Rattus norvegicus: one gene and its partner. The main gene of each other region encodes a partner of the protein of the gene in region 2 in a complex. Each region holds a gene or a part of one and is shown on either strand. Other genes may lie near its edges. The genes, in order: S100a1 and Capza2. A codon is read from its position in the direction of its gene.

Region 1 (4,259 bases), on a different chromosome or scaffold from region 2:
GGTAACCACTCTACCTGTGGGAGTCTTTCTTCGGAGTCCTCTGAATGTGCCAACATCCCCTGTAGGGGCTCTATTCTAAAGGCCCCTTCTCACTCTCTGTCTTAGGGTCAAGAGGTTATCTGTCTCCAACTTTGATTTATATTGAGACAGGAATCTCCACCCTCCCCACATACTGGTTACTGTTCCTGGTAGAGAAGTCTAGGGCTGGCAAAGGCACAATTGAAGTCAGGGCTGGCTCAATCGGGCCATCTTCTCTGCCCCATACCCTCCCTACCTCTGGCTAAGGGGGTCGGAGTGTGCTCAGCACAAGAACCCATCGACCTTCCCCGCTACTGTCCATGGTTGACAAGGTCTAGAAAGGAGCTCTCCAAACTCAAGTCCGCAACCCACAAAGTGTTTGGCCTGGACACCAGGGCCCACGGGGGTCCAGGAACGGAAGAAACATGCCTACTCATCCCCCTCATTTATGTCCGTCCGTCATTTATGTCCCACATAATCCTGCAAGGACCGTTGCTTGCTTTCCTAAAGTCACTTCCTGACTAATCTCTGCCTGAGCCCGCTTGGAAGGAGGGACCCGGGAGCTGATAAAGAAAAGAAGGTCTCCAGGCTCTCTGCAGAGTCAGAAAGAGTAACTCACCGGGGCAAGAAGATGGGATGCAGCTAACCGATCTGGAGCCCTGAGGCTGAAGTTTTTAAGCACCAGGGAAAGGAGAAAGCCACTCCCAAGTCCAAAGTGTCAAGTTTCCGCCTCCGCTGATTCGAGAGAGGAGACCGCCCCTGCTGTCACTAGCCACCCCACCACAGCGCCTCGCGACTGGGACACTCAAAATATGGTTTTTGAGACTGAGGAGGGATCATAGGGTCCCTTATCTCTCCCAATTATGAGTGCTACTCGGGAGTCTGTGTTAGAAGGGACTGCTGCTGCTGCTGCTGCTGCTGCTGCTGCTGCTGCTGCTGCTGCTGCTGCTGCTGCTTGAAAAAATTAAAAACAAAACAAAACCAAATGTACTTGGGGAAATCAGCACTGGGAAGCCCCTTCTGAGAAACTCGAGGTCCAAAGGCACTTGGAGAGCCCCAAACTAAAGCCCCGTAGTGGGACCCCTATTGAAATTCTCCACTGAGTTCTAAGACAGAAGCCCCTCTTGGAGACGCACAGGCTAAGCACTCCTGGGCAGAATCCTTCCCTTTCCCTGCTCAGCCGGTACCGCAGCACCCAGCACCACAGCACCCTTCCCACGACCTCCTTCTCTTTCACCTCCTTCACGCAAGATTCGGGGAGGTGGTGCAAGCAAGAGTGGAAAGAAACAGCAGACATCCATTCCCTCCTGGGAGACAGAGGGCGCCTCTGTCCACTCCTGGCCCTAGCCCTTCGGGTGTCGTTTGTGAAGGGGTGGAGCCGTCGGGAGGAGGGTCGGCAGTAAAGACAGGTCTCCCCACACTGCTCCGGGGCAACATTTGCAGCGCGCCCTTCTGTCAAGAACCTGCTCCGACGTCAGGCCGAGGCCAACCGTGAGTATCCTACCCTGCTTAGGATAAGTCTCTGGCTGAGCCAACCTGGAGGAAAAGAAACTTCAGAAGACACCCAAGAGTTCTGGAAAAGGATACTGTGGTGTCACCGGGGTCTGGGAGGAATCAGTCCAGGGAAAGAGCAGCTCGGGAACTAGGGGAGATGAAGTTTGGAAAATAGTGAGAGTTGGTGAGTGAAGGTCAGAGAGCTGGGAGCCTGTGGTGAATGAAGATGCCACCCAACTTCAGGGCTACCAGGCCTTCCTACACAGAATCCTGTGTCTCCTGCCAGGGATGCCATTCTATAGGTGTGGGCAGGGAGGGAAGGCAGCCCTGTTCCTTTAAGGTAAGAATAAGAAAGGCTGTCCCTGCCCCATCTCCATCCTCACCCTCTGCCTTCTCAAGAACTAGGCTCTGAGTCGTGGAGCATACGCCATGTGATATCATAAAGAAGGGGGTCTGTGGCAGTGTGCCTTCACAAGACTTCCTCTCTATCCCTTCTTTGACCCCTTGACCCCCACTTCTCTCTCTCCTCATTTTTTCTCTTTGTTTCCCACTGCTCCAACTGTAGGTCCTCCCCTACATAAACCCTCCAAGCTGCTAGAGGGTTCCAGGCAACCTCCAGATGCCCCCCCACAGATGAGAATGGTAACTGAGCCATCCAAATTCCTCCCTTGAGCACTCTCTTATCCCTTTGATCAGCCCCGCTTGAATTCTCTCTCCCACTGTCTCTGTAACAACTGCTTCTTGTGACTGGAGTTCAGGTGACAGTCACAAGGGCTCCATTGAAGAGCTGGGATGTCATCTAATCAGGACCCATTGTCCAGTATACTCAGTGGTGAGGAAAGATGAGGACACCTGAGCTGAGACACCTGAGCTGCCCCTGAGGCTATGGAAGGCATGACCCTCCCGGGCCAAAGGACTGAGGCCCCCTAGCCAGTAGTCTCTTCTTGAAAGACCTCTCCATTCTTCCACTTTCACCCAGCCCTTGAGCTCAAATGACCTCATACATTCAGCCCTTTATCCAACACAAACCAGCCCTATCCTGCTCCCACTGTAGCTACCAAACCAGAGCTTGCCCAAGGCAGGAATGGACAGCATCAGGGAGACATTTCCTCTCCCTTCCTTCTACCTACCTGATGGAAAGCAGCGACTTTGCAGAGAAAAGGACTAGACCAGGCAGTCATGTTCCCCCGAAAAGAAGCCAAAATGACATACTTGTGGGGAGAGGGGGAGCCAGGCATAATGGCTCGTTTGGACCAGCGTCTCAGCACAAGGAGACAGACAGGACTGCCCATATGTTGAGGGTCTGCTTGAGATAGTTCCAGGACAGCATAGGCTGTTATCAAAAAATAAATCCCAAGCACAAAAAGATGGCGATAAAGCCAAAAGGACCTGGACTTAATCCTCAGGGTCTAAAGAGAGGAAGAGCCACACTGGCTGACAGAAAGCTTGGGAACAGTAAGACACCTCTCCCCAACAACTCTTGGGTCTCACCCCCTGACTGTCACCCCTCCATCAGCTCACCAAAGGTATTAGACTTCTTCCTGGGTAAGCAGAGGAGATCTCAGCCCACTTAATATCAACAGCAAAGCTTAGCTGTGACAGGCCTGGAAGGTAAAAATAGAGCTTAAAGCCTGCCTGGTCCGGTGTCTACCCATGCCTCCCCTCCTGCTCCCCAGCCTGGAGCCAGCCACTGCAGATATCTTCCACAGGCTTCCAAAGACAGTCCAGTTCCTATTGCTTCATCTCCATGCTCATGCCTGACTCCCTCTGACTGGGAAATGATGGAGGGACCCAAAACACTGCACCGGATCTAGGTGTGCTAGGGTTACTCCTACATTGCAAAATCTGAAGGAAAGATAAAGTACATTGGGGCTCATCTTGTAGCTGTTTGAGCTGTGAGATCAGGGCCAGATCCCAGATTTTCTGAATCTAGTTTACAATAATTCACTTCCATCATTGTGGGAACACATAGGTGTGCTGCTGAAATGGGCTCTGAGCTGGAGACCGCCATGGAGACCCTCATCAATGTGTTCCATGCCCACTCGGGCAAGGAAGGGGACAAATATAAGCTGAGCAAGAAGGAGCTGAAAGACCTGCTACAAACTGAACTCTCCAGCTTCCTGGATGTAAGCAGAGGATTGAGATACAGGGTGGAGGAAGGGGGTGGGTGCCCCTGCCCTATCCTTGCCTCACCCCTAGCTCACCTCTTCCAACCATCCTCTTCTTCCAGTCTTAGCTAGGTGTTCCAGGCTCCCTTAGCTCCTCCCTGGAAAAGTTAAAATGCCCCTTCAATACTAGGCTCTGCAAATTCGTCAATAATGCTATCCACAGCACAGAATGGGGTCATGAAGGGCCGAGCAGAGTAGCATATACCTTCAATCCTAGCACTCAGAAGTAGAGGCAGGAGGGATCAGTAGTTCAAAGACAGCCTGGTCTATGTGAGCCCTTGACACAAGAAAGAAAAAGAAGAAATGAAGGAAGGAAGGAAGTCGACCCAGTGTGATGATGCATGCCTAATCCCAGCATTCAAGAGGCAGAGCCAATCAGTTCTCTAGAATTTTGAGCCAGCCTGGACTATGTAGTGAGAACCTGTCTCAAAAAAAAAAAGTTGTAAAATTAAAATAAATAAGCCACAAAACTAAGCATGGTAGCTCCCACTTATAATCCCAACACTTGGGAGACTGGGGCAAGAGGATGATCATGTGTTTGAGACCATCCTGGACTAAATAGTGAGTGAAACTGACTCA
Region 2 (4,494 bases):
CAGGCTCACTAATGCTGCAGTACCAAGAGCAGCCGCCATAGAAGTGTGCTCACTGGTCCAGGGAGAAAACTCTCTCAACTATTACTGTCCTCCTTCAGCAGAGTTTGAGAATGGTTCTCTTTGAGCTCTATATAACAATTTCATACAGTGTCAAATTCACGAAAATGCTTTATTATACAATTCAAATGAACTAAGAAAGAATAAGAAAGAAAAACTCTTTCTGGCTTGGAGTTTCTATAACTATGTAAAATTTACAGAGTCACACTATGACAAATTAATGCTGTTAAGGAACTTCATAGTTTCTTCAGCTAAATTTACTTCCTTATTAACACTGTGGCCAAAAGAAATTAAGCCATAAAAATCACAGTACATTCAGCCTAGTGTCCTAGATACTTTCCCCCTTCTGTTTGTTTGTTTTTGAGAGAGAGTTTCCCTGTGTAGCTCTGACTGGCTCGTAACTCAGAAAATCAAGCTAAACTTGGTCGGACTGAAACTTTTTCCTCCTGATCAGCCTTCAGGGTAGTGGGATTACAGGTATGCCTACAACGCCCAGTCAATCTCTTTCTGTTGTTGCTTTCTATAGGCTGGCCTCAGACCTAGAGATCCTCCAGCCCCAGTTTCCTCAGTACTTAGATTACAAATCTGCTCTGCCACACCCAACTACGAATTTCTAAAATGTCTCATCTCACAGGACCAGTAAGAAACTATAAAGCAGCAGCACACAATGTTCACATTACATAAAAATAAACTTCTTTTTAAAAGTGATGAAAACAGAAGTTTACCAGTTAACATTTTCACTAAGTATAAAACATAAATTTAGAACCTACAAAGAACCACTGCTTCCTTTTTAAAAATAAACAAATTGAAAACCAAGATATAAAACCAGGATAGTTCTACAATCAACTTCAAGGGAACATAATGTCATTAAGTATGCAAGCAAACCTGAATTCTGACAAACTTAGGTTTAAAGTTCACCTCTGCCATTTCCCTCCTATATAAGGCTTTTAAAATCTTAATTTACTTACAGGTAAAGGGTAATAAAACTATCTACTTCAAACTTAAAAAAGAAAATGCAACCTATTTTTCTTATGTGATAAGCACATACAAACTACAGTATTACACATCATAGTACCTCCCCTTCTTTAGACCTAAAATCTAAACAAAAACTCAAGTGTAAAAAGTATTTAAAACTTACTCCTGAAAATCACAAGCAAGGAAATAACAATAGAGAAGCATGATTTAAGAACTGGTCTTAAATATTACAATTGAATCCATTTCTGATCCATATGGAACACCCTCCTTCTAAAACAGTACAAGTCTACTGGGTAATAAAAGTGACAAGAACACTGTTTTCAATTTACTGGGTTATTTAAATTTCACTAGAAAGTTAAGCCACTGATTTCTTCAATTTAGAAAATACTGTTATAAAATCTGAATGTGAATCCCACCCTAAGAATTCTCTTCTCACTATCTTCCAAGTCAATTGAGCGCTTAAAAAGTACATGAAAGAAAACAAAACATGAAAAAAAATCCCTCCAAGAACTTTCAAACATTATTTTTCCTGTAGTGTGCACTGGTATATTTTCAATTAACAGCTTAACACTATTCAATGTTACTGTACAGCAACTTTTATGGACTTAAGAGTCTAACTCTGTGAATTAAAGTATGTTTGCCCCCATTTTGTTAGGTTATCTACCCTTAGTGGTTCTCTAACACCCAACTAAAATTGAGTATGTTTCCCACACCGGTGTACTTTATCTGGAACTTAAAAACTAAGCTAAGGTCAGACATTTCCAAAGTGCACCACACTCATGTCAGTCAAGTCTTAAGTTTCAAAAAACGTCTCGGTCTTTTCCAGAAAATATTCAAAATGTATAGAGTTCCCCTCACAGTACTCGCCCCTAGGTATGAGGTCGCCCTCAGTCGCCAAAGAAAATGGGCAAGAGTCTCAGTTCAATCAGATTTCGTATCACAAATGTGAGAACTTGAGTCCTGCATTTGGTCCCAGTGCTGTCACAGCATTTAACACACAGTAAAAGGAGTTGCACCCGCTCGCCCTCTTCGGAGTTGGTCCTATCAGGAAGATGGGATGTCACCAAATCTGCCCCAAGGGGGGGAAGCGGCCAAGTTGGACAGAAAACAACTATTGGGGGGAGGTGTCTTTGTGAACAATACTGCCTTCCGGGGAACATGGGAGCAGCAATTAAAAAAAAAAAAGGTAATGACAATATTAATAAAAGAAATGGATGGCAGGGGGTTGGAGGGAAAGGGGGCGGGATGTAGAAACTGCGACCTCCAGAGGGAAGGAAACACCCTGGAGAACCAGGAAGCACTTCGCGTTGGGGAGGAGAAACTGCAGGAAAAAGTGAGGGTCGGCTAAGCCGTTTCCCCCTCCCGCCCGCCTCACGGCGAAAGCCCCAGGCCAGGCGGCGCCGCTCCGCTGTCGGCCGCTCCCCAGCCCGGACCCCTAGGGCCCGGTCCCGCCACCCCCGCTCCGGCCCGCGGCCGCCCGGCTCCGCTTCCTATTTTCGGAGCACACACCCTACAAGGAGCGGAGGGGCCCGGCCTCCGGGAGCCGAGGCAGCACCCCGCTCGAGAGGCGCAGGCGTGCGGCCCACCACCAGAGCCCGCCCGGGGTCAGATTCCAGCCCTTGCGTCTCAGCTCTCGGTCCCGTCCGCCCTGCTCTTCACCGCCGCGGCGCCTACCTTCTCCTCATCGGACAACTGCTCCTCCAGATCCGCCATCTTCCTTCTGGCGACAAACCGTGGCGCTGGTGGCAGCAGCGGCCACCTGACTTCCCCCTTTCCGTGCGGTCTTCCGCGCCGCGCGCCCCCGCCAAGGGAGGGGCCCGCCGCCCAGGCCGCCGCGCACGCGCCCCGGAGCTCCGCCTCCCGGATCCAAGCCACTGCGCACACGCCCGGGAGCTCCGCCTTCCTCAAGCCGCCGCGCACGCGCCCCAGAGCTCCGCCTCCCTCCCCTGATCGCAGGCCTGAGCGCCACTGTGCGCGTGCGCAGCGCCTCCAAAGTCGGATTGCTATGGTATCTTCTGTCATCCTGCTCTGGTGCCTTCTCTACCCAATGATGACCATATGGACCAGGTTGGCGATGAGTACATTCTGAGCCCATGACTTTGTTCCCACCAAGTCCTGAACGCTGCCAACAAAAAATGTGAAAAGCTGTACCAATTTAAAACATTTTTAAGTATTAGGAAAAATACTGTTTTAATTAAAATAGGCACACACAATCCAGTCCATAATTGAAAGATTACTTTTGATATATTCATTTATTCATCCAAAACTATTTATTGGTCTTTTATAATAGGAAGGCCCTGGTGCTAGTTCTTAGGAATAAGAAAAGGAGGAAAAAAAAAAACCCAGACAAACCTAAATCCCAGAGAAACTGCTCTTAAGCTCACCTCTATTAATTAGACATTAAGTTAGGGAAGGCATTGTACTCTTGGAAGGAAATAAAATGTTAAGTTAGCCTTGGATGTGTACCCTCATGAACTGGCTATCCAGAATACTTACAGGACATTCACTAGAAATTTCAATTTCATGCAACCAATTTTTAGGTAAATATCCTATGAAGGATTTGAAACATTCTAAAAACATTATTTATTGTTTTCACATTTTACTGGCTGTCTCATTTTTATTTGCTAAATCTGGCAGCTCTACTACTGAAGCTTCAATTATTAAAAAAAAAAAAAAAGTAAGGATGAAGTCAAAGCTGACACAAGAAGCAGCCAGAAACATTGTTAAAATTGAGTTGCTAGTTCAGTAGACCTGAGTGGACCAGAGAATCTATATTTCTTACAGGTTCCCAAGTACGAGGAGTGCTATTCATCTGAAAACTACCCTTTGTTTGTGGAGGACTTAGAATTTAGCTAGGAGTTAAGACTTTAATAATTAGAAAGTGAGAAGCCATTGAAGGCATTCGGACAGTGTCACGACATGAACGGAACATGCTTGGCAGTGTCAGTCTGACAGCTGTGTGTAAATAACAGGTAAGAGTGCCCTTAAGAGTTCAAATAGCTATTTGGGTCCAAAAACACTATCATTAAGTGACTTACTAAAGTGTTCGTTTGCAGAACAGAAGAGGAAGCTGACACTCGAGGGAGCTGAAAGTGTCCAGTTGAAGATAAACCCATGGAGACAGTATGCAAGTTAATAAAGTACAGTGTCTGGCCAAAACTCTCAGGAGCGACAAATCAATATCAATTTCCTCTTTTATAGTTTCTAAACCCTCGCTTTATTTATTGCTCCCGGCAATTGTGTGTGCTCAAGTATTACTGTACCTCCAAACCAAAGTTCAGTAATTTAACCAACGCTGCATGCTCCCACATGACTGAATCCTAGGCATTTTTTCAACATCCCATATTCTTTCCACTGCCAGAACTTTCTCCCTTTCTCCACAGAATAAAACTTAATGGAGGTACCCTCTCTGGCATGCCAGCAATCCAGTTCACAGCACCTGCTTCATCAACAATCTCTCTG

What was found.
Region 1: the proteins of Capza2 (region 2) and S100a1 are in contact, whole or in part, in an NMR structure (PDB 2KBM), measured with the Rattus norvegicus proteins. Residues at the interface, in NP_001009180.1 of Rattus norvegicus: Thr267, Lys268, Ile269, Asp270, Trp271, Asn272, Lys273, Ile274, Leu275, Ser276; in NP_001007637.1 of Rattus norvegicus: Ser44 (codon at 3,627), Phe45 (codon at 3,630), Leu46 (codon at 3,633), Asp47 (codon at 3,636), Lys50, Asp51, Ala54, Lys57, Ile58, Glu61, Leu78, Ala81, Leu82, Thr83, Ala85, Cys86.

The regions. Positions count from the first base shown.
Region 1 is NC_086020.1:178,293,456-178,297,714, reverse strand, and holds the start of S100a1 (protein S100-A1), read left to right. Parts: upstream 1-1,368; 5' UTR 1,369-1,509; intron 1,510-3,484; 5' UTR 3,485-3,497; coding exon 3,498-3,638; intron 3,639-4,259. UniProt on the Homo sapiens protein: Small calcium binding protein that plays important roles in several biological processes such as Ca(2+) homeostasis, chondrocyte biology and cardiomyocyte regulation.
Region 2 is NC_086022.1:46,942,348-46,946,841, reverse strand, and holds the start of Capza2 (F-actin-capping protein subunit alpha-2), read right to left. Parts: upstream 2,803-4,494; 5' UTR 2,746-2,802; coding exon 2,707-2,745; intron 1-2,706. UniProt on the Homo sapiens protein: F-actin-capping proteins bind in a Ca(2+)-independent manner to the fast growing ends of actin filaments (barbed end) thereby blocking the exchange of subunits at these ends.